Linked DNA regions of Zea mays. The protein of the gene in region 1 binds, or shares a complex with, the protein of each later gene. Links are inferred from orthologs where the notes say so. Each region holds a gene or a part of one and is shown on either strand. Other genes may lie near its edges. The genes, in order: Mediator of RNA polymerase II transcription subunit 13-like, Probable mediator of RNA polymerase II transcription subunit 19b, Mediator of RNA polymerase II transcription subunit 21, mediator of RNA polymerase II transcription subunit 8, mediator of RNA polymerase II transcription subunit 14, Mediator of RNA polymerase II transcription subunit 33A and mediator of RNA polymerase II transcription subunit 18.

Region 1 (3,500 bases):
TCTCCTTTACAATTAGAAACAGTTACCTGTTATATCTTAGAAGTAGTCCCTCCATTCTGGTGTTTGTGGTTTTGTGTGTTTGTGGTTTTGTGCACAGATATTAATATAAAATTATAACATATCCTGAAAACTACCATGTTAAATTAACTTGCCTTGTCAACCACGGCAAGGCTTCAGTCACCAATGAAGAAATGAATTAGGCATTGAAAAATGTAGCAAACACTCAATATGGTAGGGTCTGCAGGTATATCTCTTCTTGAAAGGCTATAATAATAAACAAAAAGGTACACTTTTGCCTAGCCACACAACAAAGGAAAAGTATGAGGATAGTAATTAGTTCTTCACCGCTCAATTTACAAGGATGTCTCTCTCATGTTTGTACCATTGAGAGAAGAGATTTAGCTTTATTGGAAGTGTTGATTCTTTAAACAGGACAAGTATGTGAGTGATGTTTGGAGTCGTGTCTTGAAGGAAGCCATTTATTTCTAAATTACTTCTCAGTTCTCAAGAATAAAGAAGATTTTTACTATTGTTTACTATATTTTCTACACTTGACTTGTTTGATTAATGCGTAATTTCACTTTTGTCTGTTGTTTCCACCATTTATATAAGTTGTAATTTGTGTTTATTTCATGATTATTGCATTGAATGTTGCAGTTGTTGTTGCTCCTAGTGGGATGCTGGGTAGGCTTGTCGGTTGTTGTCCAAGTGATCTTGTACGACAAGTTTATTCAAGGTATTTCAAAAGAAGTGAAAATTATTGTTACATTAAAAATGTATTCTGCATCTGTGTGCGAGTATTCTCAAAAGAAAAATCATTAATCCCCACTGGTGAGCAGTGTGCCTTTTGGCCTTTTGGATGGTTGCAATGTAATCTACAAGCAAGCATTTGTATTAGTTTCATGAGATGTTCTTTTATGAAAATTATTTTGTATTCAGTATTTCAGTTTTTTTAAAGATGTCCATATGTACAGATTGTCACTTTGACAGTGTTGTCTCACATTAAGTTCCTTCAACAATTGCAGCAAATCATTGACGCCTAATTTACCAGGTTTTAGTCAACCTACTGTATGCCAGCTGAGAGGCCAAAGTTACTATGTTGAAGTTGCGCTTGGCTTTCCAGCTGCTTCAGCCAAAAAAGTTTCTGAGTTTGAGCATATTCATATAAAAAAAGAATTGGATCCAGTGAAGGATGCTATGGTCGGTTCTGATGGACAGCGTAAGGTAGAATCACCTGATGGCCTTCCAATTCTTGAGAGGACATTTATTTACCCACCTGAAGCTGTTTTGGTACCTATGGTCCATCAAGCATTTGTTCGCTTTTCGAGCAAACGGTACTAGTCTTACACTTTTTCTTGCAGTGATTATAGCGGACATGGCTTATGTTTTGTTATTTGCAGAATGTGTTTACAGGGCTCGCTGGGAAGTTCATCATGGGAGGCATGGCCATTCTGGAATTTTGCTCCGTCTTCTTACTTTCAGAACAGGTCAGTCTCAAATTATTTGTTTCTTTGGCATGCTGTATCAACAATACTACCAAGAATTGATTATTCGTTGTAATTTGTAAACATGTTTGTCCACTCACCATGTTGTCTATAAATTGAGGAGCTCCATGAAAATCAGCACTTACAAAGAAAATTTTGCACTTGGTGCCTCACAATCATTTTTTTCTCAAAAAGCGCAGGAGAACTGCGCCCCATAATATAATAAGAAGATATAGGAAAAGGTCTAAAGAAGACCAGAGACAAAACAGCTTCCTTACGGAGGCCAGTAGCTAGCATACAAAAAAGAATCCATCAAAGATAAACAAGGAAACACCCTAGAAATCAGTTAATGGGGCAGCCAGAGAGCATAGGCCTTTTGCCCCAGCTGTTTCCCAACGACTTCTCATCAGCAGATGCCAAGATTGACGATAGACTTGGCGTCCTTCCGTCGAAGACACATTTATTTCGATGATTCCATATTGTCCAAGCGCCCAGAATGATAAGGGAGTCAAGACCTTTTTTGGTAAGGCCAGAAACCACATCTGAAACCTCTTCCCACCAACTCCAGAAGGAGGTGACAGTCGACTGAGAGGCAAGGGCGTGCAGCCCAAGTTTTCTCAGAAGCTGATAACCGAAAATTCTTGAAAAAGAACAAGTCACAAGAAGATGGTCCAAAGTTTCTGCCTCTTGGTCACATAAAGGGCATTTCTCAGGGTGGCTTAACCCTCTCTTAGCTATTTTTTTTCTTCGAAAAACGCAGGAGAACTGTGTTTCATTATATTAAGAAGGAGAAAAAGGTCTAAGAAGGCCAGGTACAACAAGACGGGCTTCCTTATGGAGGTCGAAAAACCAGAAAACCAAAATAATCCATCCGAGAACAGCAACCTACTACTTGTCTAAACCCCCTCCGAGACTAGCCCTCAAGGAGAGGGGCAGACAGGCAGGGAAGGCCTTTAGCCCCAGCCATTTCCCACATCCATCTTTCTTCCAAAGCCATCCTAATGGCTAAAGACACATTAGGGTTCCAGTTATCGAAGACACATTTGTTGCGATGGTTCCAAATAATGGAGGCCCCCAAAGCAATAAGAGAATTGAGCCCCTTTCTAACAAGACCTCTGACCGAAGAAGAGGCTTCTTCCCACCAGCTCATGAAGGAGGACAAACCAAGTTGAGGGCTAGCATTTGAAGGTCGAAAGTCCTCAGCAACTGAAACCAGAACATCCTTGAGCAAACACATGAGACCAGGAGATGATCTAAGGTTTTATTCTCTTGATCACACAAGGGGCATTTCAGAGGGTGATCAAGCCCTCTTTTGGCCAACCTGTCAGTGTCCAGCACCTGTTATGCGCAACGAGCCAAAGAAAAAAATCTGCATTTAGGCGGGGCCCAGGTCTTCCACACCCCGGGATAGTGGCTGAAATAGACAGATCCCATGAAGAACCCTTTATGAGCCACTTTAGCTGAATAGTTACCGTCTGGGGCAATACTGAAAACATGTTTGTCTTCAATAGAAGGCTGTAACACTATTTCAGAGATAAGGTTCCAAAGCTAAAGGTAATCCACCAAAACTCCCACCGAGAGGGCCCCTTTGATGTCAGAGATCCATCTTTTATTTAGGAGAGCCTCCTGAACAGTTCTTCTTTTTGTGATCCTCCTGGGAATACACTGAAAAAGCCTGGGAGCAATGTCACATATTCTCTGCCCTTAGATCCATTTATCAGTCCAGAATAGGGTGTTGGCGCCATTTCCAACTTCTGAAACAAGAACAGTGGAGAAGAAAGCCCGAACCTTATTAGGCACATGAAAAAGGAGCTGCGCTCAGGGACGAGTTGGATCAGTTTTATGCAGCCATAACCATCTCATACGAAGAGCCCAACACATCTCGGGTAGACTGGAGATGCCCAGGCCTCCAAGCTTAAGAGGACGACAAACTCTCCCCCAAGACACAAGACAATGCCCTCCCTTAGCCTCTTTGCGTCCTCTTCAAAGAAAGCCTTTTCGGATTTTGTCAATAGT
Region 2 (4,114 bases), on another chromosome or scaffold:
ATTTTAACAATTTCATCTCTGAAAATTGCTTGTCCACCAAATAAATATTTAGAGTGAAATGAACCACAGGGGGGGGGGGGGGGTAAACTTCCCCATATTCCCATTTGGGTCCATGAACTCTCAAAGTAATCAGCTAGGTCCTCCGGCTTTTCAAGTGATTCGTTTGAAGTGTAAATTCAAGTCCATGGTTGGACCTAGAGTGACCATAAAATGAACCACTTGAAAAGTTGAAGGATCCGGATGATAAATTTCAGAGTTCATGGGCTTAGATGACAATGCAGAAATAGTTTAAGGACCCGTGGACCGTGGTGCATTTCATTCATTTATGTGAGTCTTAGTCAAACCCTACCATTTCCAAACTTCTTGTCATCAGGGTCCATCAGATTGCAGCTTGAGCTATGCAAAGAGCATCTTCACCTGAAGTTCGATTACAAAAAAAATGTAACGACAAATGTGCAAAGGTAAAGTGAACTGGTTCTGCAATGAACAAACACGATATACACTACTACATATCTACACCAGTGTTATTAAAACTACGTTTAAACGATGTTTAAACTACGTTTAAACGTCAAAACTCTAATTAGAGGTTGAAACAACGTTTTAGCGTTTTGGCGTTCTAAACTCTAAAACGCAGTGTTTTTATGCATTTTAGACCATTAGCTACTTTTGGGCCCAGTCTATTAGTTACTTTTGAAGTTCAATCCAGCTCATGGGTGAAGTTTTGGTAAGCCACTAACCTCTCTATTTTGGTATTTAACTTCATATTATTGTCTGAAATTATGATGTATTGGTATTTTTCCTGTGTTGTTTAAAACTACGTTTAAACAAAGTTTAAACGTTTAAGAGTCAAAATTTCACCCATGAGCGTTCAACGTTTTACCGTTTTAATAACCTTGATCTACACACCACATAGGCCTGTTAAATCCCATGGCCAAGCAAACATCGATAAGACAATTCATAACCATATATGGTGTCAACATCAAAAGTAATGAACATGTTTTGCCTGTCTTATTTGAAATAATATGGAATTACATATCAATTATCACGTGTAAAGTGTTGTGATTTTAGCAAATCATGCGTGGGAGTTAACATGTATGTTTGTTTTGTAGATATGTCTGTGTGTGTACTGCGACTTTAGCAAATCAAACATGTCTGTGGGATTCCACTCACTCACACCCAACCAACCTCGTGTACAGTTACTAGTGATAAAGGGGAGAAACTGCCAAGCACCATAAATCCACAAGTGGCAAAAAAAAAGAGCACTCGAGAGAGAACACACCTACATAAAGGATCACTGACCAATACAAAATGATTCTGACAATGTACGTAGGATACCAGGCAATCATAACTACTACGACCAGAACCCAGCATCGCAACCAATGGCAATAGGCAGGAAGCAGAGGCGGATAGAGCTCCTGGGCAGGGCAGGCGTGTGCCCGGGCTCTGGTTTGTGCCGGTGCTGCACATCGAGTAGGTTCGTGCATAGGTGGATCAAGTGATGCCACTTCTGCACGGGATCAAGTGGACATCAACAGCTTGTTGATCTGTCTCCTCGTGGGTCTGCTTCTGATCATGGACTTACGGTCCAGACCTAGGAAAAGACCGTGGCCCAAACGTGACATGCAAATTACGTGACGCTCCCAGCCCAACACTGCTATCGTTTCTCAATTTCTCAATCTAAACTTATGTAATGTGCATTTTTGTTCTTATTAACTAATTATAGTATTGTAGCGTTATTACTTGTTAGTCCGGAAGATTTAGACTGTTCAATATTTTTTTATATTGACATCAAGTGATTGGGACATGAAGCCTTGTTACAAATATGTGACTATCCTCCTCAAATTGTAGACCGAATTAGAAGATCATACATATTGAAGGACCAATCCAGCCTATTATGAATTATGATATATTATCTATCGTTACATCTCGGAATGCAAACCATTTAATATCTTCTATTTTTGTGAACACTTTTTTGTTATCTCTTTATAGTTTATTTTAAATGTTTGCATACGTATTAGGTAATACATTCAGAAAAATATTTGTCGGCGTCAAACAAATTTATGCATGTCATTGTATATATGCAGTTGTTCGTAGTTATTGGTTGGTCATAGACTAGCCTAGGCTCTTTATGAATCCTGGATCCGCAACTGGCAGGAAGCATGGCTAGAAGCTCAGTTGCAACACATGAACTCAGTTGGTCCAGAAACAACCCCTGGAACAGCAGTGTGTCCAAGACAGCCCCTCCCCCTGGAAACACCAGTGTATCCGGGATGCAGGGCATGGGGATCGAGTCGGGGCACTGATTATAGAGAACACCCGTGCAGCCAGCCAGGATGCACCGAAGGCAGATAAAGTGAGCCTGCCCGGCTGCGCCTGCACGCTGGATACTACGAGCCTAATCAGTAATCACATTAGAGGCGGGTGGAGCACTCGAGCGCGCTAAGTAGGGGAGCACCGCAGCAGCGCCACGAAGCGGGCGCGCCTGAGTGACCGGAGGTTATTAGGGTTCTCAATTCAAACTGCCGCAGCAGTGAGGAAGCCCCGCACACCGGAGCAAGCTTGGGTAACTCACCGACATAGGGCGGAACGATCTCGTGGCGGGGACAGGTCTACGCGCCAGTCCAGTTGCAGTAGAGGGCGAGGGCCGGGCCGGGCCGGGCCGGGGACGACGCCTCCCGACGGCGGGGTTAAGGTGGGTGGCGGGGCTGAGCCCCTGCGCGGTGTGGCCCGTCCGTCGCTGGCAGCGAGAACCGCGGCGGCGGTTGGGTAGCGGGCGGGCAAAAAAGGGGAAGTGGGAAAGGAAGGATCGGGAACCCCTACGACCCCCGCACTTGCCCAGATGTGGCTTCTTCTCCATTTTTCCAAAAGAATTTTAGAAATAAAATTGAAATTCGGATGTTATTATTTATCATATTCTAACTTGAATATTATTATAAATATTATCATATACAAATAATTTTAACTAGAATACGAGTATAAATACTACTTTATCCATTCTTTTTATTCTTTTTTATTTGTCATGTTTTAGTTTAAAAATAAACAAATCGACGACAAATATTCGAGAACGAAGGTAATATCAAATATAAATATAATAATATGAATATAAAATAAATAGTTTAAATTTAAGTTTCCATCTTGGAACATAGTGTCGCAATATATAATAATTTTGTTTCATCGACGAATTTATAGTCAATAAAAATTTATATTTCAAGTAAATTATAACTATATTGTATGTATATATATATATATGTTATAAGCATATATGATTAATAAATGAAGATATATTCTTTAGCAATGAAAATAAATACATTAATGCATATAGATATAACGTATTTATTACATAGGTAATCTAATGTGATTATAATTAGTCTTTTAAAATTAAATTAAATTTATCATTGTGTAGTATTCTGAATAATGTACATATTTTTTTCTGGTAGCGTTTTTAAAATTAAAATCATTTGTTGTTAGTGATAATAATACATTTTAAATGGTTTCGTCGATTTTTTTTTTACGAGTATAGATAGTGTTGGATATTCCACGGTTTCGTTGAATACAAATCTATAGTTGGTTAGAGAAAAATATTGAAAGTTGAATTCCCATACATATATTTGATATCTATATTAAAATCGAATGCGAAAATTGACGAGTACCAAGGAACCGAGTATCTTAAGGAGACCTCATCGAGCAACCAGCAAGGCGGGATGGACGACCAAGGCCCCCATCGAACAAACCAGTGAGACGGGACGGACGACCAAGACCTGTCGAGCAACCCAACGAAGCGGGACGGATGGTCAAGTCCCCGCCGAGCAACCCAGCGAGACGGAACGGACGCCTGCGTCTCTGACGACCAAACCCGCAAAAGGAAAGGGCTGACCCGTGTCGGTGTTTGTTACCCGACCGCACACCATGGGGTAACCCTCGTGATGCTTTTAGGGCAGGACGGCGTCGTCGATCATGACTCGATGGTTCGTGCGGTGGCACGACAGGAGAAACACACAAGCTTGTTCAGGTTCGGGCCGCGCGAGAGGCGTAACACCCTACGTCCTGTGATGGTTTTGGTATTGGGATGAGATTACAAGTTGTGGACTTTGAGAATGGTGGGCTAAGGTGAGAT
Region 3 (3,734 bases), on another chromosome or scaffold:
CTGTCGCGGGCGTCGGTGGCCATGAACGCCTACTACCAGGCCCGGGGGAGGAACTCGTGGAACTGCTTCTTCAACGGCACCGGCATAATCACCATCACTGACCCCAGTGAGTGCTTCCTTGCTTGCTGTGAGTGTCTCATTGCCCGTGAACCGTGTTGGGGGAGCTGACACCGGATGATGGATCATTGGATCCTCTTGCAGGCCTTGGCACCTGCAAATATGCTTGACACGACGGGCTGCTCTGCTGCTGCTGTGCTCAACGGACGATGAATAAGGCTGTAGGGGAATGATGCATCTTTTCCTTCTCTTTGTTTTGTTATTGTGTCTGTGTGAGTGAGCAGGGAGTATCCTTGCAGAACCAACCAGTATCATGTCTGAGCACTGTAGAGAGAATTTCCGTGCTTTTATTTCCCAAATACAGTTCTACTCCAGGCCAGTGGCTGGAGGGGAGTTTAGGAACAGGTGTCAAAGGTCTCAGGTACTGAACAAATACCAAAATATAGAAGAAATCCCAGAGGAAGCCAGGTGCCAGATCCATTAAAAAGACCACCACAGTTCAAGCGTCAGTTCATACTAAAAACATTGCACCTTACAACCAAAGGTCAATCCTAATCCGGCAGATCAGAATGCCAGTACACAAAAGCTAAGTGCAATTATTGTTCACTAGTAGAGAATCTGAAAAGACGGAATATAAAGTTCTTACTGGCATTCATCCTCCACACTCCATCCACAGGAACAGTTTCTTTTCAGCAAACCTGCTATGGCAGACATTGGATTTACGTCAACACAATATCTTATGAGCTAGATCGGTTTCCAACACTTGATGCCAAATACATACAAAACCAAGAAGTAACTGTTGGAGCCAAATTAAAAGAGAAATTGACTTTGACAGTGCATTGATAAGTTGTAGGAAGAAATTCATCTCAACTTACATTAACGTAATTAATCTAGCTTCTTAAAATTTATGCAATTGTCTGTTGCTTCATTAAACAGCACCTCAACCTGCTTCAACTCCCTTTCTGTAACGCAATGACATCAGTAATTAGACATATAATAGTAAGAACTCTAGAAACAGTGGGGATCGTGTTACCGGCAGCTTCAAGTTGCTTCTGGAGCTCCAGTCCCACGACTTCATTCTCTGCCTGCAAATTTCAGATTTTCATACAGTTTATTTGGAGTAGGAGTTTGGCAGATGCCCATCCTGTGCTCGATGAATTAATCTGACTGTCTGATATCTACCTGTAGCTCTTGGATTCTTTTCACTTGATCCTCTTCTGATGATAGTGGCACTGCTGCAACAAGTGCATCAAACTGCATAGAAGGCCATAATTGTTCCTCATTTAAGGGGAAAAAGTTGGAACTGCAGCAAGCATAATTTGAACTAAAGTTTGCCAGTCTTTACATTTCAAGTTTTCAACCATGGTTAACACAAAGTGATCTCCCTCACTCCCTCCCTCCCGTATGCATCACTCTACGTCTGTACGCTGTTGTTGGGATAAACATCTTATCTTAGGAAATGGAGCAAGAGATGAAGATTCTACGTCTGTACGCTGTTGTTGGGATAAACATCTTATCTTATGAAATGGAGCAAGAGATGAAGACTCTACGTTATGTACATTGTTGGGATAAACATCTTATCTTATGTAATGGAGCAAGAGATGAAGATTGTTCTGTACACTGTTGGGATAAACATCTTATCTTATGCAATGGAGCAAGATATGAAGACTAGTAAGTGGCAACACGGTTTCATTGTTTGTCTCCACATAACGCGGGCAAGCAAGCAAAAATTAAACAGTTGGTCCTTCACTTATTCGCAGCATCAGACTTACGAGTAAAACTACGAAGCGAGCCGAAACTTTCTACTTAACCACACAAAGATATTTTGGAATCACCGGGCGGGCATTTGGTCCAGAAGATGGGGACACCGAGAAGAGAAGTGGGGCAGGGTACCTACCTTCTTGGCCGCGAGGACGAGGGCGCGGCTCATAGCCTTGGGTTGCTCGGTGAGGTCAGGCGCGGGCGGCTGCGCCTGCGCCTGCGCCTGCGCCGGTGGCGGCGGCGGCGCGCCGGGCTGGGCCTGGACCTGGGGTTTGGAGTCGTCCTCGGGCTTAGGGTTGGGGTTGAGCGGGTCAGGGTAGCTGCTGGAGAGGCGGTCCGGCGGCGCGTCCCTCTGCAGCGTGCCGAAGGTGTTGACGGCCAGCACGGCCATCTCGTCGAGCTGGTCCTGCAGCTGCGTGATGATGTCCATGCCGAATCCCCACCACTCTCTCCCTCTTCTCCTTCCTCCGTCCCAGACTTGCAGGACGGCGGCTTTATTGTAGCAGGCCGATTTCATCCAGGAATGGGTCTGCAGGATCCAGCCCACGTAGCATGGACCAGGCCGGATCTAAAAAATGTATGTGCCGGTATTCAAAAGATGCTCGCTCATATTCCTGGGATACCACCAAGTCTTCCGGTCACCACACATTTGCAGAATGCTGAGCCATCGGCAATTTTACCATTGTCATTTATAGGCTTCATTAATATGACGTCGGACCCTAAATTATAGACACAGATGATTCTATCAGTTATAGATATGGGATAATATAATAAAGTCAAAACTGAGAGTGACAAAATTATAAATTGTTTGGCACCAAAAGGAGCGCGGACGGAGGCCGGACAGTCCGCGGTCCGGACAGTCCGCGCCTGTGGGCCGGACGGTCCGTGCGTGCGCAGAGTAAATTAGGGTTCCGAGTTTTGTGCTATGTTTGTTAGCTAAAATCGCGGGAAAAGCTCGGAAATTAGTTTGTAAAGGGTCCAGCCCCCTCCTCTATAAATAGAGAGGTATACGGCCGATTTGTAATCATCAATCGAATCAATACAACTTATATTTCACATTTATTTCCTGTACAATTAGGAGTAGTTCTAGTCTAGTTCTAGTTTAGCCTCTCGATCCCCAAATCTTCCGCCTCTCCTCGACTCTACGTCGATTAGAGAAGTCTAGGTCAGTCTACCCGAGCCTAGACACCACCTAGGATCTCTCCTCCCCGACGGGGTCCCTCCCGGGAGCGAGATCCAGGCGCCGCCGGCGATCTCCCGCCGCCCCTGCGCACGCGCGGACCGTCCGGCCCTAGGGCGCGGACCATCCGGCCGTCAGGCAGGGAACCTTAGCTCCTGCGCCAGGTCGCGGACCGTCCGGCCCTGTGTCGCGGACCGTCCGCGCCTGACCAGAGAGCACCACCGCCTCGCGCCAAGTCGCGGACCGTCCGGTCCTGTGCCGCGGACCGTCCGCGCCTGACCAGAGAGCACCGCCGCTGGTTTTTTTAAGTGATTGGCGCCTCCAAAAAGGTGTCAACATACTTTTTGGCGACTCCGCTGGGGACACAAATATAGACGCATCAAATCGGCCCTCAATGGCCGGTTCAAGAGATAGCTCTAATATTTCCCCAAGCAACATCATAGAGCCGACTTAGGAGACCTTGCCGGCTGACGAACAGCTCCAGTTCGAGGAGCACAAGGAGCAGATGATCCAGGAGGCAAAAGCGAGGTTCTTGGCCAACTTCAAAGTGGACAGGAACAACAAAGTCGTCCGACATCGGGCGACAGATCCGGCTTCACTGCGACCCACGCCAGACATCCCCAATGTAAGTAATACAAACGAGCTGTAATCTCTTAAGAATTATGTAGATGAACAGCGTGAACAAATGCAAAATATCATAGGGGATATGCAAAACGACTATAGGAGATTAGCGCGT
Region 4 (4,253 bases), on another chromosome or scaffold:
TCACCTTGCAGTACTTACAAATGGCTCCATACCATACCATCTTACCATTGACAAGGTGAGTCGGTTCATCAAAGTCATGCCACACTTTAGATCTGAGAGGACACTTACTGGAACTGGTGGCGGCGGTGCTTGTGCCGGTCGGTGTCGGGCTCGTGGATCCTGTGCCCGCTTGACCACCGGTGGCGGCACCAGGGACATCATCATCATTATCGATGTTGATGGCAACACTACTGCCAAATAGGATCCGGGCATCCTCTGCTTTGTTATGATATTCTAGCCGGTGCTCCTCGTCCACAACGGTCGGATGAAGGTCATCGTCCATGCCGTAGACAGATGGCTCCTCGCCGACGACTGGGGTCCCTGGACAGCTACGTGGCACCGACACAAGCGATACCTAGGAGATTCATCACATCCATGGGATTCCAATCAAGATCTAATACACAAGAGAAGGGGATGGAGATTAGGGTTCAGGACATAACCTGCGCAGCCGGAGCACCTTAGTCGCCTTGAGAGCACCACCGCGAGGAGGAACACCTCTGCTAAGAGGATGTCAGGAGCCGAGGATGGGGATTACTCTATTGGGATTCGGGTGTGAGGAAGGGAAGATGATGAGCGAAGAGATGAGGAGAGTATAGATGTCCAAACAAGCCGTCGCTGGTAGCCGTCACCAGTAGCCGTCGGCGGGAGAGGCGAGATTTCGTCGGTCACCAAGGAGCAAGAGGTAGGAGCCACGGGAGAAGGGGAGGGGATTAGGTTTAGGGTTTCGAGCGAGCGAATGCCGGGGGGGTGCGTCATGGGGCAGGGCCGATGTGTGTTATGCGGCGTGGAACGGACAGACGCCGTGTCTGGCTCATTTTCGTGCTGGGTCGGGCCGAGCACGACGTGCCGGCCTCAAAGCCCAAGCACGACACGTCCACCGTGCCGGGCTGTCCCGAGCTCGATGCGCAGCGAGCCGTGCCGGGTTGGTACCAGGCTTCGGATAAATTTGGCTGTCCGGCCAATATAGACATCTATACCTGTTAAACTGCTAAACAAACTTAGCATCATCAGGCATCGGCTACACTATCATTGTAAAGTCCGTTTGCTTGTAGGTTGGCTTTAATTAGCCCCAGCTCCTCTGTGTGAACTAGGAGGCGTACGTGCCATCAAATTCTGTAAAGTTTGAAGCATGCTGCAGGCAGTATACTCGTGAGGATGACACAAAAAACACATATTTAGTGATACCAATTTAATGGTGTAAATACCACCGTCTCTTTTTGTATAAGTATATTAACTCTAAGTTTAGTTAAATAAAAAATAGTTTAATATATGACGACTCTGTATGCTCATCTCATCTAGGTATACATTTTGTTAGGACTTCTCCAAATTTTGAACTCTGCATTATGAACTTTTGGATTCTGGACACATGTTTTGTCGAGTGCAGAGAATTGACTTGACTGTCCCCCGGCCCTCACATGTCAGTCTGAGCCAGACACGCAAACTGGTGGTACCGCCATAACGATCTGAAAACATCCTCCATTAGTCCGCCTCCGGCCACCCCCTTTCATTCCGCCGCAACGCCACCGCCCCCAACGCAAGTTTCCGGCGATGGACCCCGCGGCGGCCGCGCTAGGTGCAGTACCCGCCGCTGGCGCGCCACCTCCGGGCGCAGCCGCAGGGGACCAGCAGGCAGCTCCCCGGGTTGAGCGGCTCAGCGCGGGGGTGCAGCAGCAGTTGAACCTGGAGGGGATGCGCGCGCGCGCGGTGGGGCTGTACAAGGCCATCTCCCGCATCCTCGAGGACTTTGACGTCATCATACGCACCAATCCCAGCGCCTCCCCCAAGTGGTAACTTCATCCCCAGCCCCGCCCCTCTTATTGGCTATCGGCTGATGGCTGGCAGCAGTGGATTCTAGGGTTTAATTAGGATGCCTCTGCTCGTGTGGCGTCGCTGCGCGATTGCTTACTGGTATGGTATGGCTGCCTCTGGGTGAATTGCAGGCAGGACGTGCTCGGGCAGTTCTCGATGGTGAGCATGGAGCTCTTCAACATTGTGGAGGACATTAAGAATGTGTCCAAGGTGTTTGTCGTGTACCCCCGGAATGTCAATGCCGAGAATGCAACAAGTATGCCGTTCTGAGTTTTTTCCCCTTTATGGATATGCATATATCTTTTGTTATCTGTGTCAATTTGGTTATCACGTAATGGTATTTGTTTTCTTAGAAATCATAATTAATATTTAGTTGATCTAACATAGGGGAGTTTAACATCTGTTGGTTATGTTCTAGTTGCATGGTTTACTGATTCAGTCATGAAATAAATCATCTCCAGTTCAGGGACAACAATTTCCAAAGACATTAAGAGTTCTTTGCCCTTGTTTGTAAAAGTTTGGTTGGTTCAATCAAGACATGAACAACAACCTCTCTGAAAGATTATCAATGGAAGCATGTAATTTGGGAAGAAATTATCTGATATGAAAATTTGCTCAGTTTATGTGTTGAAGTTTTGCTATGTAACCAACTGTATTGAGTCCAAAGGAATCCATCAAACATTTTCCCTTATTTGACCCAACACTAAATAGTCTTTCGTTGTTCATGGTCCAGTATTGGTGAACACCTAATGAGATTATGATTTTCAACACATGATGAGATTATACGATTCATTTATGCTTCCATATATTTTTAGAAAAAAACCCTATGATTTTGTTTCTAAAGTAAGGATGAATGATGACTACAAGTATGACCAGTTGGGCTAATACTTTGCTGTGCCGTTTCTTTGGGGTCTTCTCACAAGTTTTATTACACATGAAGATTCAATCTAAGATTTTTCTTACTGTCAACTGATGTTTATTTCCAGTTGTCCACTAATCAAAATTCTGAATTAGGTTTCAGACTTTTGAAGTTTTCTACTAGCCATGGCCTTAATTTCATGGCAAGCTATTCTGAGATAAATAAACACAGTGCAAATGACCCAACAAAAATGTATTGGAAATGGTCATTCTAATTGTTCTGATGCATTGTCATCTAGTGTTCCCATTTTGCATACTATCAATGGTTTGTACAGTTATTTATTATTAGAGTTGCAGTATAATCCTTATGAATATTGCAGTACTACCTGTAATGCTGTCGTCAAAACTGCTGCCTGAGATGGAAGTTGAGGAAACTACTAAGAGAGAGCAACTATTGTCTGGAATAACTAATCTACCTGTGCCTACACAGATTGAAAAATTAAAGGTGACCAATTTAGTATGAAAAATGAAAACCTATAGCATGTGTTGCTAGCTTGATTTATCGGCTATCTATTAATTAGAATGAACCTGGTACCATCCCTTTCAGGTTAGAATAGACATGATTGGGAGTGCATGCGAAACTGCTGAGAAAGTAATTGCAGAATGCCGTAAGAGCTATGGGCTGGGAAGCCGTCAGGGGACAAATCTTGGTCCTACATTGGACAAAGCACAAGCTGCAAAGATACAGGAGCAGGAAGGCCTACTTAGAGCAGCAGTAAATTATGGTGAAGGTGAAAGGCATAGTGCTTGGTCAATATTAATAAAAAATGCAATTAGATTTCCAAAATAAAGAGTCCTTTTTACTTCTATTTTGTGTTACAATTTCAATACTTATAGCCTTACTAAAATTATCTGAATGCCAGGATTACGGGTACCTGGAGATCAGAGGCATCCACAATCTCTTCCTATCCATCTGATAGAAGTGCTTCCTTTAGGAGACGGTGCACAAAATTTTGGTGATAGTTCTGGTATGTAGATTTTCTTGTGTATCTAAACTCTCTTAATGAACCTCTCCTCGTTTTGAGTTTTAACATCTGTCGATTGTCTCATTTTCATGCGCTATAGACCGAACTCCTATTGTGCTAGGATTAGTGTTTATCCTCAATTGCTAAAATCACGACCATTTGCATTGAGATATGTGCTGTAAAAGTTCCTTATATGTTTAACATTTGCCATATTAATGGGAGATTTGTGCCGTAGAAGTTCCTTGTATGCTTAACTCTTTGGCATTTGCATTGGAGATGTATTTGACAAATGCACATCTAATTTCTATTTGTATTTGCAGGTAGTTATCCCAAAAATATGTCAACATTTGCACCTAATAGTGTCAACAGCCAGGGAAATCAGATTCAGGTTTCTGTTATAACTGAGTTATTATTATGATATTAGAAAGGGTCTATCTTCTATTGTTATCACTCTTTTGAATTGAAAACCTCTTTGGTTCATTCTGTTTTTATGACATCAGTCATCTTCCCATGGTGTTGATA
Region 5 (4,223 bases), on another chromosome or scaffold:
TGTCCTTCGTAACCTTCGTCCGAAGATCATTATATCCTAAGGGAGATAATGTGATGAAGGACAAAGGTCTATAACCATTAACATTTGTGTTGCCTTGTTCTTGATTCAAAGCTTTTGAGAACAAGTGCCAAACACTCGTCGAGTTCGAGCTTTTTTCCCAGCCCTAGCCACGGCCACGGTCCTGCCCGGTCGGCGGCGCGCGCACGTGTGGCAGTCCTTCATCCTTTTCTCAGCTTCTCAATAGATGCACCAACGGACCACCTATTTAAGTTGATTGAATTGTCCCTTAAACTTCTGGTATTATACTAAAGTACTAGTACACCGTAGCATTAAAATGGGCCTTTAGCATTGACTATTATTGAATATTAATATGGGCCAGACCCACATTAATTCAACAAATGACACTATAAGGTGACTTATGCAACACTACCTCCTTCCAAGAGCACAATAGTTGGAAGCTCTCTTCTCAAGTTACAAACAACACTTTCAAGGCTTTCTCTTTTCCATATCAAACTGTGTCATGAGCAATTATGCATTTGTAGGTATCTTGAAGTGAACTTTGTAATTCCTTAGCACCAATGTGTGGTTTCTTCACAAGGATAGGAAGAGCTTTTAAAGCTACCCAAACACTTGTTAGAGTGCTAGTCCTCCTCCGTCTATTAGATGTACAAATGTGATATCATTTAGCATAATCATCTATAAAAATAACAACAAACATCACTATAAAGGCAATAACGTAAATAGATAAATAAATGTAAAGTTTTTGATATACATAACATACAAATATAGTCGGTGAATCATACCTTTCAATTATTGCATTAATGCTCCAAAGACAGTCACCTCCTCGGCAATAACCTCTGTATTTCTTAGGGCATGTACAGTGGTGTTTAATATGGGGGCTCTTAAGGTGTTTTAGGGGGTTATTTGCAAAAAAATCTTAGAGCCGTCTCTCCGTGAAGAGACGCCTCTGGCTCGTAAACCAAGTAACAACAAACGCCTCACTTCCCACTGTACGAATTTGTCGTCTGTTCTATCGATCTGATGCTATACAAATACATTTAATTCTGTATTTATTAACCGACTACGTTTAGAGACACTCCATTGTACAATAGAGTCTCTTAGTTGTCTCCTGTGCTTAGAGAACCGTTTTGGTGTCTCTCCACTGTACATGCCCTTAGGGCATGTACAACCCAGATACGACTGCACGGTACTTCAAGTATAAGACACAGCTAAAACACAACACAATACAGTGGTCGTGTCTAAAACGTGTGTCTTACCATATTCATTGTACCAATCAGAGCATTCAATAAATTAAAGTGACCAATCAGCTAGCCTCCTGTCTCGAACATAGAGCTAAGACACTGTGTCTTCGTCAAGATACATGTCTTGAGTTTTTTTACATTCACCCCCCTAGACACACTCTAAGACACAACTTAAGATACTCATTGTACATGCCCTTAGGCTACTAGCCCAGGCCTCCGGTTCCGCGTGGGCCCGTCGACTAGGGCGCACTCGCACCCTCCGCCGGTCCTGAACTCATCGATCGCAGAAGCGAGAGAGAGAGAGAGAGGAGGCCGTACCCACGCCGCCGCTTCGCCGCCGCCGACCTCCGTCTCTCGCTTCCACCATCTCTCTCCTTTTCACCCTCTCTCGCGGCCACCCTCGGTCCCCTCCCTGAGCCTTACCCTTGACTGAGTGGTTTCCAATTTCAGTTCCACTCCCTCTTCCACCACTATTCACGGGGAGGCGCGGCGAATCCTGCGAGATTCCTCCCGGCCCACGCGTGCGCACGTTGGCGATACAGGGCTAGAGTTTCGTCTCCGGCGCTTTGCGGAGTTAATTAGGAGAAGGAACTGGAGAATGTGTAGGTGGTGGGCGCTGAAACCCTAGCTGTTCGGGACGGGCGTGCGTGCGGGGATGGCAGGGGAGCTGGGGCAGCAGACGGTGGAGCTGGGCGCGGTGGTGCGGCGTGCGGCGGAGGAGTCTTATCTCGCTCTGCGGGAGCTCGTGGAGAAGTCGCAGGCGGAGGCCGAGGGGAAGGGCATCGGCGCCGGAGCCAATGGCAGCTGGCAGCGGTCCGACACCGAGAAGAAGATTGACTTGCTCAAGTTCATCACACGCACACGCCAGCGCATGCTTCGTCTCCACGTCCTTGCCAAGTGGTGTCAGCAGGTGATGCCTAATTTCAGTCTTTGCTATTTCTCTTGCTTGTCTGTCTCCTTGTCATAATTCTGCTGAGGTATGCTAAGAATTCAATCTGACTGGTGTGAGTGCCTAATATCCTGTTTTAGTTTGGTTTAGTGGCATTGTCTCACCTATCTAGCTCGAGTGGCATGTAAAGAAGGATATTCATAGTTGTTGTCTTATTGCAGTGTAGTGGGATAGTGAAGATTGGTGATTGTTGATGAATTGTGCCAGCATTTTTGCCCCTAATTTTGTAGGGTCTGTACTCCAGTTCCTAGTAGGACACAAATGATTGTTTGGTGGACAAAATGTAATCCAGTTCAATCTTGGCATACTCATTGATTTGTTTATTTTGTTTTGGTGCAGTGGTATTATGAAAAAGCTCAATTTGTTTCGCACTAGAAACTTATATTATTTTTCTGGTGCTGTCATGGTGTGCTCTAGCATAAACGACGAGTGAAATAAGACCGTTTTACAATGTACTTGAAATAGTGCGAACTGCGAACCACCATGCACACATAGATCAGGGGAATGTAAAATCAACAAATATAATTTAATAATTAAACTATTAAACCATTGAAAATGCATTATATATCACGGGAGTCGCGAAAGGGCCTCTAGCCTAGTGGTTAAGGACTTCCGAGTAGCACCTCCAAGTCCTGGGTTCGATTTCCCCCCGGGAGCGAATTTTCAGGCTTGGTTAAAAAAATCCCCTCGCTGTGTCCCATCCGCTTTTGGGTTACGATGTCCTGTGCGCCACCCTCCGGTTGGGCCGTTGCAGAGTGGACAGTTGACGCCGGCCCGTTAGTGATTGGGGGCCAGGGTTCGGGGATTTTCTCGGCCGGGACCATTGTTTCGGTCTCTTCTTAATATAATACCGGGAGGGCGGTCTTTCCCTCCCCGGCCGAGTTTTTTTTTATCACGGGAGTCTCATTGATTTATATTGCTTCCATTTCAAATTGTAATATTTCACTATATGGTTTGAACTGTGGTAATGTGGTTGTTATGCTGTCATAAATATTTGTTTCTAGCATATATTTGGTGCAAGCTAATCCTAGTGCAATCGTGCAAGCCACTTTTGTTTTGTAACAAAATCAAGATGAAGTATTCTGATTTTTATTAGATTGCTCATTATCTGGTTCACATCCATAAAATCCTTTTCTTTTAAATTTAATTGACAACTTGACATATAATTTCTGTGCTACAAATGTAATTAAACGTAGGACAGAAAAATGAGACTGTCTAGTAAAAAATAAGTTGACAAGGACAATGAAAAGTTTAAGATTTCCTTTGTCCCAACCAAGCTTAGATATAGCACTGAACTAGTCCAAAGAGCACTTCCTCAACGGATCCAGAAGTACTGAGGTTGATTTAATGGCATTTTACATCATTCCACTGAGCCAATGGATTCCTTTAAATATGCCCCACTGTACCTTAATTTTGTTGTTATGTCAGGCTGTCAGCTGTGTACCTAGTGCTGAAAGCTGAACACAATGTGGGTTCTGGAGAAGGGGATTCTCAACAGCCTCACCCTCGCATAATTATGCAAGGAGGCTGTTTCAAACATGGTTATTAAAGCGGTAAAACGTTAAAACGTTATGAACCAACTTTTCAACGTTTAAACGTTTAAACGAACGTTGAAACGTCTTTTCAGACTTGACATAGAATTTCAAATATAGAATAAGTTCATACATAAGTTGAGTTCACAAACCAAATAGCATTAGCATAAAAAGAAACATATCAAGTTCAACAACACAAGTTCAACCACACAAGTTACAACTTTTATGCATGATTAGTAACCATCATCGAACTCATCGATATTAAGACCATGAGCATAGCGCCTTGATCGTCACCATCTTTTCCACTATTGCTTCCTTCAATTTCATCTTCCACATCAAGATCATCAAGAATATATTCCTCATCATCTTCATTTGCTAAATTAGTCTCCTCTTCCTCAAGGTCTTCATTCCTTCTCACACACCCACCACCAGCTCTCCTAGGAAAATTACGACCTCTGAGATGTGCAGATGCACCAATAG
Region 6 (4,061 bases), on another chromosome or scaffold:
TTGATGTTTACATTCACCCATCAGTTCATCAGATCATGACAAAGCTCGAGTCCCATGGCTGCCGTTTTTATCAAAACTTTTCTTGGCTATTTAAGAGGTAAGGCGAATAAAATACCACAAGCATAGACAGTTGTACTTTTTTCCTTTTGCATAACCCTAAGTGCTTCTAGAACATTATCTTAAATGTTTGCATTAGAGAAAATACACAGAATATTCTATGATACATTGGTTATGTTACTGGCAAAATCTTGAGCAATTATTTGTAGCTCCCCAAACCCAAATCCCACACAAACAGGAATAAACCAAGGCTTCCTCCATAAGCTTGAGTGAAGTTTATGAGGTCATGAGCCTATGAGATGAAGATCTAGTTTGTTATTTGACTAATATATTTGAAAACAGATTACTAATGACCAATCAGCAAAAAGATGAATTCATCATTTCCAAATGCTCAAAAATAAAGACCTGAAACAATTCAGTAAAAGAGTACTTCAAGTTGAAAAGACATACATGTTTTCGCGTGCCAATGATAGGATACGAGTAATTACTTTATCGCGAAGAAGATGCTCAATGAGCTCCATAGTTGTTACAGTGTTCATCTTCTGTAACTTTTTGATCTTCTCAGTTCTTTGTTCAGTAAAAGTTCCTTCAAATGTGCTCACATCTTCAGGCCTTGTTGGCCATTGAGCATTCTTCTCTGGAGTTAACTCTAGTAGGCCCTCATCATCCAGAACAACATCAATCAACTGCCATATAATACAAAGAATGAAATGCACAACAAAAACCCCTGGTTCACATGTAGAGATGCCAAATATCTTGGAAAGTCTAAGATTCCGCTCTATTATATCCATGATCCTGCAAACATTAGAGAGGCTTTAGCAAGGATCTCTTATTGCTCCAGCAAATTTAACACTGCAAGACAGGCCCTTTTTTCAATTGCATTTGAGACTTCTATAGGGATAGAGTGCATGAATAGATAACAGTGCAAGGAACAAGCTTAAAAACCACATGGAAGCACATACACTCTTACTTCCAAAAAACAATTTAAAGTTATAGAGCAATAACAGTGCAAAGTATTAGGAAGTGAAGAACATAAGTAATGTATAAAAGATATATAAGAAAATTTCCAGAAGAATTTCGGCAATAAATGCCGCCTTGACAAATTCAAGAGAAGTTGCATGCATTACTGCAAGACAAGTAGACTTTCCATCATATAAAAGTTGGGGCCCTTAGTTGGAAATGACAGATATGACCACTAATCCACTACAGAGACATCGCACAACAAGGTGTATATACATGTGTAAACCTTATTACAATTACAAACACCTGAAACTGAAATGCTTATTTTAAGGCCATTAAGATATGACCACTAATCCACTACAGAGACATCACACAACAAGGTGTATATACAAGTGTAAACCTTATTACAATTACAAACACCTGAAACTGAAATGCTTATTTTTAAGGCCATTAAGAATAATGCTAAATTACATTGAACACTACACCTATTACTCTGATTCTCATTCCAGACCACTGACTTGAGCATAGTGTTAAGAAAATACAGGGAGCAGTCAGAGAGGGGAAAGGCACACTTTCTGAAATTTGCTGCTTTCATCTGATGATGGAAGTTGAACCCATGTCTTTTCAAGAGCTCAAGGTAGAGTCTATACTCCATTGGCCTGGAAAGCCGGTGAGGAATTACCCTGCAGGACCCGAAGAACAAACGAAGTCCATAAGAATAAACATTGAGAAAAGTCCTAACTCCATCATAAGGTCACACACCACACAATCCAAGCACGTTGCACGACAGCAATACCAGCCAGTGAAATAATTAGTACTAAGTGGGATTTGCCACACGCTAATCTAACTACTTTTCCAGTCCCAAAACATAGGTCAAACTAACCGTGTTGGCTATTACAAGACCCTGTTTCTCTTGAAAAAAAAAACTGGACGAGGATTGCAGTGAAGCCCTGATTAGCCTACCGACTGAGTGTCCAACTGCTTATATATTCTTAAAACAGGCATTTCTCCCATGGTGTGATCTACCCACATTGTCATTTGGCAATGCATTGACACATGACACTGCCACACAGCGTATTTCCGCCCCCTCAAATTATCGGGGCGAAGCACGTCAGCTTCCTGGTAAAACTCGTGTACGGGCAAACACCTGACCGGACACGTCGTAAAACTGCTTGCGTGCATTCGAGGTGCAACTGATTCGATTTAGATCCCCGACAGCTAAGCGCTGCATTCCGCCATTCCGATCCTACCAACCGCCACGGACCACGCCACAGACACAACGCACAAGCCGACGCCACGAAGCACCGGACCGCACCTGGTGGAGAGGAGCGCGAGGAGGAGCGCCGGGGACGCAAGCCGCGCCGCGAGCGCGGCCTCCGCGTACTTCCAAGCGGCGGCCGCCGGGGCAGCCCCGCCACCGCCGCCGCCGCCGCCGGGGAACAGCGCTCGCGCCAGCACCTCCGCGAGCCCCGCGGACCAGGGCACGTCCTCACTCTCGCCCGCCGCCGCAGCGGCCGCCGCCACCCGCGCCGCCCACTCCGGCGGCGGGCGGGCCTCGGCCTGCGCCGCCTTGGTATACTCCGCGGCCCACTCCAGCCACGGCGCGGAGGACGGTGGCGGCGCCGACGTGGCCATGGCCGCGCGTGTTCCCCCCCGCCCGTCAGTGGCGGTGGGTGCTCCTGCCGCCGCGTGGAGTGCCGTGCCGGTGAGGAGAGAGAGAGAGAGAGGCTGCTGGAGTGGTGTCTGCTGCAGCCCTGCAGGTGCTGTGCTGCTGGGTTGGTTTGGTGGTGGTCCGATCGCCGATGATGCTGATGGCGTCCCGTTGGTGTAACCACCTCTCCCCCCAGTCCCCCACCGCACCACCTCGCGGTGGGGCCGCCGCTTCAGGATCTTCTGCGTGACCGAGCTTTCCAACCAAGAGAAAATGGAGTCGCCAGGCTACCACTGGCCGCAGCGGATCCTGGAGGTACGTGTGGTCCCACACCAAGTGGCGTGGTGGTGCCATTGCCGTGATCCAGCCCCCACCCGTTGACACGTGGTCCCGGCGCCCTTGACTTCGTCGCTCGCGGTTTGGAAAAAAGCTGCTGCTGCAGCCCGCGCGCGGCGGGCCCCGCCGACCGACCGTCCGTCCGGCAGCCCAACTCGCGGCGCGGTGGCCACGCCGGCCGTCGTCCTGTTCGGATTGGCTGGGTACTGTGGCGATGCGTCAGGCTCGGCCCTCGGAGTTGGGCCGTTGAGTTCACGCTCACCTACTACGGCGTCAGTGAGTGAGTGGGAACTGACAGTGACACAGCCTGACCACTTCACCTGCAGATATGGTACTACTTTTTTCTGTCTCGCTCTCCGCCAAACAAATCTCTCTCTCTTTTTAGTACTAGTAGGAGAAGACGGTAGGTATGCGTGTGTTCCGAATTTTTTGCATTTTGGTCCTTCATCGGAAAAAAAATCACATTTAGACCCTAGAAAATTTTAATGTCATTTTTGACCATTTACTCGGCGCCGTAGCCTGTGGCGCCGAGGTAACACAGCTCGGCGCCATAGGCTATGGCGCCGAGGTACGTGCTGCGTTGGCACAAACGAATGTCGTGGGGCCGACGTGGTACCGAGCTCGGCGCCATAGATCATGGCGCCGAGCTCTGTTCTGTATAGAAAATTTGTCTAGCTTAATTGGTAAAATACAAGACTCTTAACCTTGTGGTCGCGGGTTCGAGCCCCATGGTGGGTGGTTTTTAATATTTTTTGTCTTTGTCACTTATTTGTTTTTTTTGTCCATATTTTTCGTTTATGTCGCTGATTTGTTTGTCCTGATTTATTTCTCATCCAGTTTTATTTTTGTGACTGATTTATTTATTCGTCCAAATTTTTTTATCCAGCGAGCACAGCAGCTGTGTGCCACAGTGCTCATAAGCCGTCAACTTCTCCCCTTGTTTGCTCAGCTAACCACAATAAAAATCAAATGAGAACACTCTTACTTCAATCGTGATCAAATAAAAATATTATATTTTTATTAAGTTCTTTTGAACATAAATTTTAAATACATAATA
Region 7 (3,946 bases), on another chromosome or scaffold:
CAATCTTAAGTGTCATACTAATCTCCTGTCAACGTCTCGACCGATGGGTGCATCAATGACTTTTTAATGGGTGGTCTTTCCACAAAGGACATGCCACTAATATTGATAATGTTTACCATACGGATTTTGCATATCATAATGATATTTGTCGTTCCGTTTATATATTTCATACAATTTTTTTACTTCCGTCGCAACGCACGGGCACTCACCTAGTTGAAAAATATATACACATGAGATAAACTTCTTTTTGAGAAAAGAAATTATGGTTTGGATTTTTGAGAAATTTTAATATTGGTAATACTAGATTGTTACACCCTGCAACTACAAGGCAGGGCATTACCCATCAGCAATCATGCAACCAGTCAAACCAAGAGCAAGGTTGGCACAACGATGTGTCAGACATGGACAACACTAGCAGGCAAAACTGACTGCTCAAATGCTCGGCACGAAGAAGGCCACCTCATTAGCCACGCCCACTCATCTCAAAGAACGGACTTTGGCTGTCCTAGCAGCAAGAACGGACTTTGGCTGTCCTAGCAGCATTACAAGGTTTTGCCACCGCCACTTGACATGAGTGAGGCAGCAGCAGCGGCTGCTGTTGGAACGATTCCTGTCGAGTGTCCTGGTTTTGACAGATGCAGCAGCCTGCAGCAGATTTCCAAGGATTATTAAAACCAAAAAGGTGTTTGGTTCATTCTTATATGTTTTCTGATTGTTGCCTCGGAATTCAAGCTTTGGGGTACTTACGGGGCAAGATATTCACAGAACGCAGTGACAGCTGAAACAACATCATTGTAATTATCAGCAGCAGCAGGAGCTGTGATTTCCACTAGCTGTATGGCAGGAGTGACTGGCGTAGCTTCATCGGTTGCATGGAGCCTTGACATCTTGTTAGCAGATGTAACAGTGACAGTGATTTGGGCACCTCGGTGGAAACGAAATGCAAAACCGCTCTTCAAGAGTTCATGGTCTAGCTTGTACCCTAGGGTGTAGAAGTAGTGCAAGACGTTCTTGCTAGCTTTGCTCTCCACAACTGTACGAACCAGAACTGAGATTTGCTCCGCACCAGCACCTCTCATGGCACCACCAACATGTCTTATGGTCCTACAATCTTGTCACAATTAATGATAAACATAACAAAAGGTAGACTTTCAGCAGCTTGTCTCGGTTACCAGGATGGTGTGGGCTGAGCTAAGTCACACAACAAACGAACCTCCGATGGGACAACACCTGTATGATTGCAAGACGTCAGTTAATACGCCACATGTGTAGGAATGGAGGAGTAGACTAATCACAAACTAACCTAGATTGGGCCCACTTTTAAGGCAGAGCTCATGCACCCTAAAACGCTCTTTCGGGACACCAGAGAGTCCCTGGAGTAGAACCTCAAGAGCATCGACATGCTGCAAAATGGAAAGATCAAACAAAGGTTAAACTAATGGCAGAGCAGTACAACAAAGAGCAACTTACATTCTGTGCACAACACATAAACTAGAACATACCAAAAAATTAAGTTCCTCTCTATTGTAAAAGCACAAGGATAGATCATATGTTCCCCCAACTGTATATTAAATGTTACTATTCTGTTAACATGCTGAGAAGAAAAAAAACAAATGAAATCAAAAGCTCCAGAAGTAGTGCCTTAAAGCGCGGAATAAATTGTTGACATTTAGTGGTCTACATGATCTATCTATTTATCACTTCAATAAAATAAACTTTTGTTAGTATTTATCTGTGATGGAGTAAACAGAAAAGTGACCACCAACTGGCAACTATGGATAGTGGCCATACCTAAGGGAGCTCAACTGAACACTAAAATGAAGCTAGATTGTATGGTGCGTAAGCTCAACATTGTGCACTGTACATGTACATCAATATGAGATTGTTTTGTCCACAGCAACGGAATTCAATTAGTAACGAAATGTTCAACAACAAATTCAATACTATAAGTATATACTTACAAATAGATATTAACAATCTATACACCATTCAAAATACTTATCAAATCTAGATGCAAGCAGTGAGAGGAAAAGTTAATGTCTGATCTGCATAACAAAATAGACTGCACTAACGATGATGAAAGAGCTCCTATCTTTCAAATGTTAGTGGAATGCGTGAAAATCAAATTTTACATAAACCATCAGTGCCAACTTGCATTGTGGCACAATACCTGGTTCTCGATGATTCCCTGCACCACGCACTCCATCGATCTTCTACTGTCCCACAATGATTTTGCACCCAAAAAAAAAGAATCACGTTAGTGGATTTGTTATATGTGTATCAGGGGTGGACCAGTATGGCAGTAAAAAACAAAATTAGAAGTTAGTAGACATCAAATAGTTAGGTTAGAGTTCGGGAACTCGTTTTCGCACAGCGGGTAGAGAGAAGAAGGGGGTGGGAGTGGGAATACATTGAGAGCGTTCTTCGCCAGCGAATAGATCAGCGAAGGGCGTGGTGCCTATGGTGGCGACTGCGGTAGCCCGTCCAGTCGTCGCAAAGAGAGAGAGAGAGAGAGAGCGCGCGCGCACGCGGTGTGAAGGTGACGGATGCGGCAGCGGCGGCGGCGGCTGTAGCCCAGCTAGGGCCTGATCTGGGAAGAGGGAGGCTCGATAGGACTGAGGCACTGTCGGCGGTGCGAGCCGTGCGGCGCAGCGTCGACAGGAACAATGGTGGACGCGACGCGAGGAGGGAGACGGGAACGACCGGACGAGGGAGCCAGGCAGTGGACGGCTGGGCTTGAGCAGGGAGGTGGGCTTGAGCTGGGAGAGTTCACAGTCTCGTTTGGAATGATCCAAATTTCGTTTCGTTGACTAATCTTTTATTTTTTATATTGTTATATTTTGAATCAAATCCATTTAAAACGGACTGAAATTTGTTTTTTTGGTTAATAGCGAAAACGAAAAAAGTATCAAAATTTGGTGATCTCGGACAGAAAAGATAAACCGTGGGCTTGAGTCAGGATTGTTCAGCCTAGTCGCGGTGCGGGGGTTGTTCAGCCTTATTTGTCACTTTTTTTATTTTAATTTTGATAAGACCTAATAGGTTACTCTAGATATGTTATCACTTTACCTTTTTATTCCTAAATCACTTGATAGTTTTACTATTTCTTTACATGGTTTTGGGTTAATATTTCATTATATCCATGTTCCAATTATTTTGTTATTTTATTTTTATTCATGTCAAGATTATTATCTTTAATTGGAACATAGAGCTTAACTTGAGAAACATGTGTCACCACAAGAGAGGAATGAGACCCCTTGACTAACTAATTAGGAAAGCTAGTGGAAAACTACCTTACCCGAAAGGGGCAACGGCAGTAAGAGAGTTACATGCAGAGAGGTTCTCGGTTGATTTTGCTGCGATGGCGGTCAGACGGGGGATTCTTGCAAGTCGAAATCTAGTGGAACTTTATAAAGGCCTCGTAGTGTTGCCCTGTCTCGCTTCCTTGGTAGAGGTGTATGAGAGTCGCGATCCCTTGGTAGATGGGTAACATTACTTGTGGATACAGGGTACAGCCTCTGTAGAGTGTAAAACTGGTATACTAGCCGAGCTCATGGTCATGAGCAGCTCAGAACTGTCGCATGATTAATTAATGGAACTTAAATTCAATTTGTCATTTGCATTGCATGTGATTACTTATTAATTTTGTTCTATTATTTATTATGGTTTGGTATTTACTTACACTTAGTAACTGCTAATAAAATTTTGACCAACTTATAAAAGCAATGCTCAGCTTCAACCTTTATTTTGTTGATCAGCCTTACACTTCACATGAACTCTCACCTTTGGTGAGTTCATGCACACTAGTTTCCCCACAACTTGTTGAGCTATGATCATATGTGAGCTCACCCTTTCTGTCTCACACCCCCATAGGAGAAGAACAGGTGGTTCAGGAGGAGGCACACAATGAGGAGTTTGATCTAATCTAGGTGGCATCTCCCAGTTG

The links.
Region 2: Mediator of RNA polymerase II transcription subunit 13-like (region 1) and Probable mediator of RNA polymerase II transcription subunit 19b share a complex: the UniProt entries of both Arabidopsis thaliana proteins name them as parts of the mediator complex. The link is inferred for Zea mays from reciprocal best matches to the Arabidopsis thaliana genes GCT and AT5G19480.
Region 3: Mediator of RNA polymerase II transcription subunit 13-like (region 1) and Mediator of RNA polymerase II transcription subunit 21 share a complex: the UniProt entries of both Arabidopsis thaliana proteins name them as parts of the mediator complex. The link is inferred for Zea mays from reciprocal best matches to the Arabidopsis thaliana genes GCT and MED21.
Region 4: Mediator of RNA polymerase II transcription subunit 13-like (region 1) and mediator of RNA polymerase II transcription subunit 8 share a complex: the UniProt entries of both Arabidopsis thaliana proteins name them as parts of the mediator complex. The link is inferred for Zea mays from reciprocal best matches to the Arabidopsis thaliana genes GCT and MED8.
Region 5: Mediator of RNA polymerase II transcription subunit 13-like (region 1) and mediator of RNA polymerase II transcription subunit 14 share a complex: the UniProt entries of both Arabidopsis thaliana proteins name them as parts of the mediator complex. The link is inferred for Zea mays from reciprocal best matches to the Arabidopsis thaliana genes GCT and SWP.
Region 6: Mediator of RNA polymerase II transcription subunit 13-like (region 1) and Mediator of RNA polymerase II transcription subunit 33A share a complex: the UniProt entries of both Arabidopsis thaliana proteins name them as parts of the mediator complex. The link is inferred for Zea mays from reciprocal best matches to the Arabidopsis thaliana genes GCT and RFR1.
Region 7: Mediator of RNA polymerase II transcription subunit 13-like (region 1) and mediator of RNA polymerase II transcription subunit 18 share a complex: the UniProt entries of both Arabidopsis thaliana proteins name them as parts of the mediator complex. The link is inferred for Zea mays from reciprocal best matches to the Arabidopsis thaliana genes GCT and AT2G22370.

The regions. Positions count from the first base shown.
Region 1 is NC_050104.1:30,378,979-30,382,478, forward strand, and holds part of Mediator of RNA polymerase II transcription subunit 13-like, read left to right. Parts: intron 1-657; coding exon 658-736; intron 737-1,025; coding exon 1,026-1,334; intron 1,335-1,400; coding exon 1,401-1,487; intron 1,488-3,500. UniProt on the Arabidopsis thaliana protein: Component of the Mediator complex, a coactivator involved in the regulated transcription of nearly all RNA polymerase II-dependent genes.
Region 2 is NC_050096.1:177,736,240-177,740,353, reverse strand, and holds the start of Probable mediator of RNA polymerase II transcription subunit 19b, read right to left. Parts: upstream 2,801-4,114; 5' UTR 2,573-2,800; intron 418-2,572; 5' UTR 381-417; coding exon 350-380; intron 1-349. UniProt on the Arabidopsis thaliana protein: Component of the Mediator complex, a coactivator involved in the regulated transcription of nearly all RNA polymerase II-dependent genes.
Region 3 is NC_050099.1:37,998,873-38,002,606, reverse strand, and holds Mediator of RNA polymerase II transcription subunit 21, read right to left. Parts: upstream 2,249-3,734; coding exon 1,955-2,248; intron 1,312-1,954; coding exon 1,240-1,311; intron 1,143-1,239; coding exon 1,091-1,142; intron 1,020-1,090; coding exon 943-1,019; 3' UTR 933-942; intron 759-932; exon of another isoform or gene 756-758; 3' UTR 501-755; downstream 1-500. Other genes in the region: putative X8 domain containing family protein isoform 1 precursor, read left to right, coding at 1-106, 202-227. UniProt on the Arabidopsis thaliana protein: Component of the Mediator complex, a coactivator involved in the regulated transcription of nearly all RNA polymerase II-dependent genes.
Region 4 is NC_050102.1:151,801,048-151,805,300, reverse strand, and holds the start of mediator of RNA polymerase II transcription subunit 8, read left to right. Parts: upstream 1-1,453; 5' UTR 1,454-1,587; coding exon 1,588-1,826; intron 1,827-1,979; coding exon 1,980-2,104; intron 2,105-3,086; coding exon 3,087-3,211; intron 3,212-3,313; coding exon 3,314-3,497; intron 3,498-3,629; coding exon 3,630-3,734; intron 3,735-4,051; coding exon 4,052-4,119; intron 4,120-4,253. UniProt on the Arabidopsis thaliana protein: Component of the Mediator complex, a coactivator involved in the regulated transcription of nearly all RNA polymerase II-dependent genes.
Region 5 is NC_050097.1:176,303,064-176,307,286, reverse strand, and holds the start of mediator of RNA polymerase II transcription subunit 14, read left to right. Parts: upstream 1-1,423; 5' UTR 1,424-1,917; coding exon 1,918-2,172; intron 2,173-4,223. UniProt on the Arabidopsis thaliana protein: Component of the Mediator complex, a coactivator involved in the regulated transcription of nearly all RNA polymerase II-dependent genes.
Region 6 is NC_050097.1:165,234,306-165,238,366, forward strand, and holds the start of Mediator of RNA polymerase II transcription subunit 33A, read right to left. Parts: upstream 2,801-4,061; 5' UTR 2,653-2,800; coding exon 2,333-2,652; intron 1,701-2,332; coding exon 1,590-1,700; intron 853-1,589; coding exon 508-852; intron 1-507. UniProt on the Arabidopsis thaliana protein: Component of the Mediator complex, a coactivator involved in the regulated transcription of nearly all RNA polymerase II-dependent genes.
Region 7 is NC_050100.1:126,532,858-126,536,803, forward strand, and holds mediator of RNA polymerase II transcription subunit 18, read right to left. Parts: upstream 2,801-3,946; 5' UTR 2,411-2,800; intron 2,217-2,410; 5' UTR 2,207-2,216; coding exon 2,171-2,206; intron 1,404-2,170; coding exon 1,304-1,403; intron 1,231-1,303; coding exon 1,173-1,230; intron 1,105-1,172; coding exon 748-1,104; intron 646-747; coding exon 543-645; 3' UTR 279-542; downstream 1-278. UniProt on the Arabidopsis thaliana protein: Component of the Mediator complex, a coactivator involved in the regulated transcription of nearly all RNA polymerase II-dependent genes.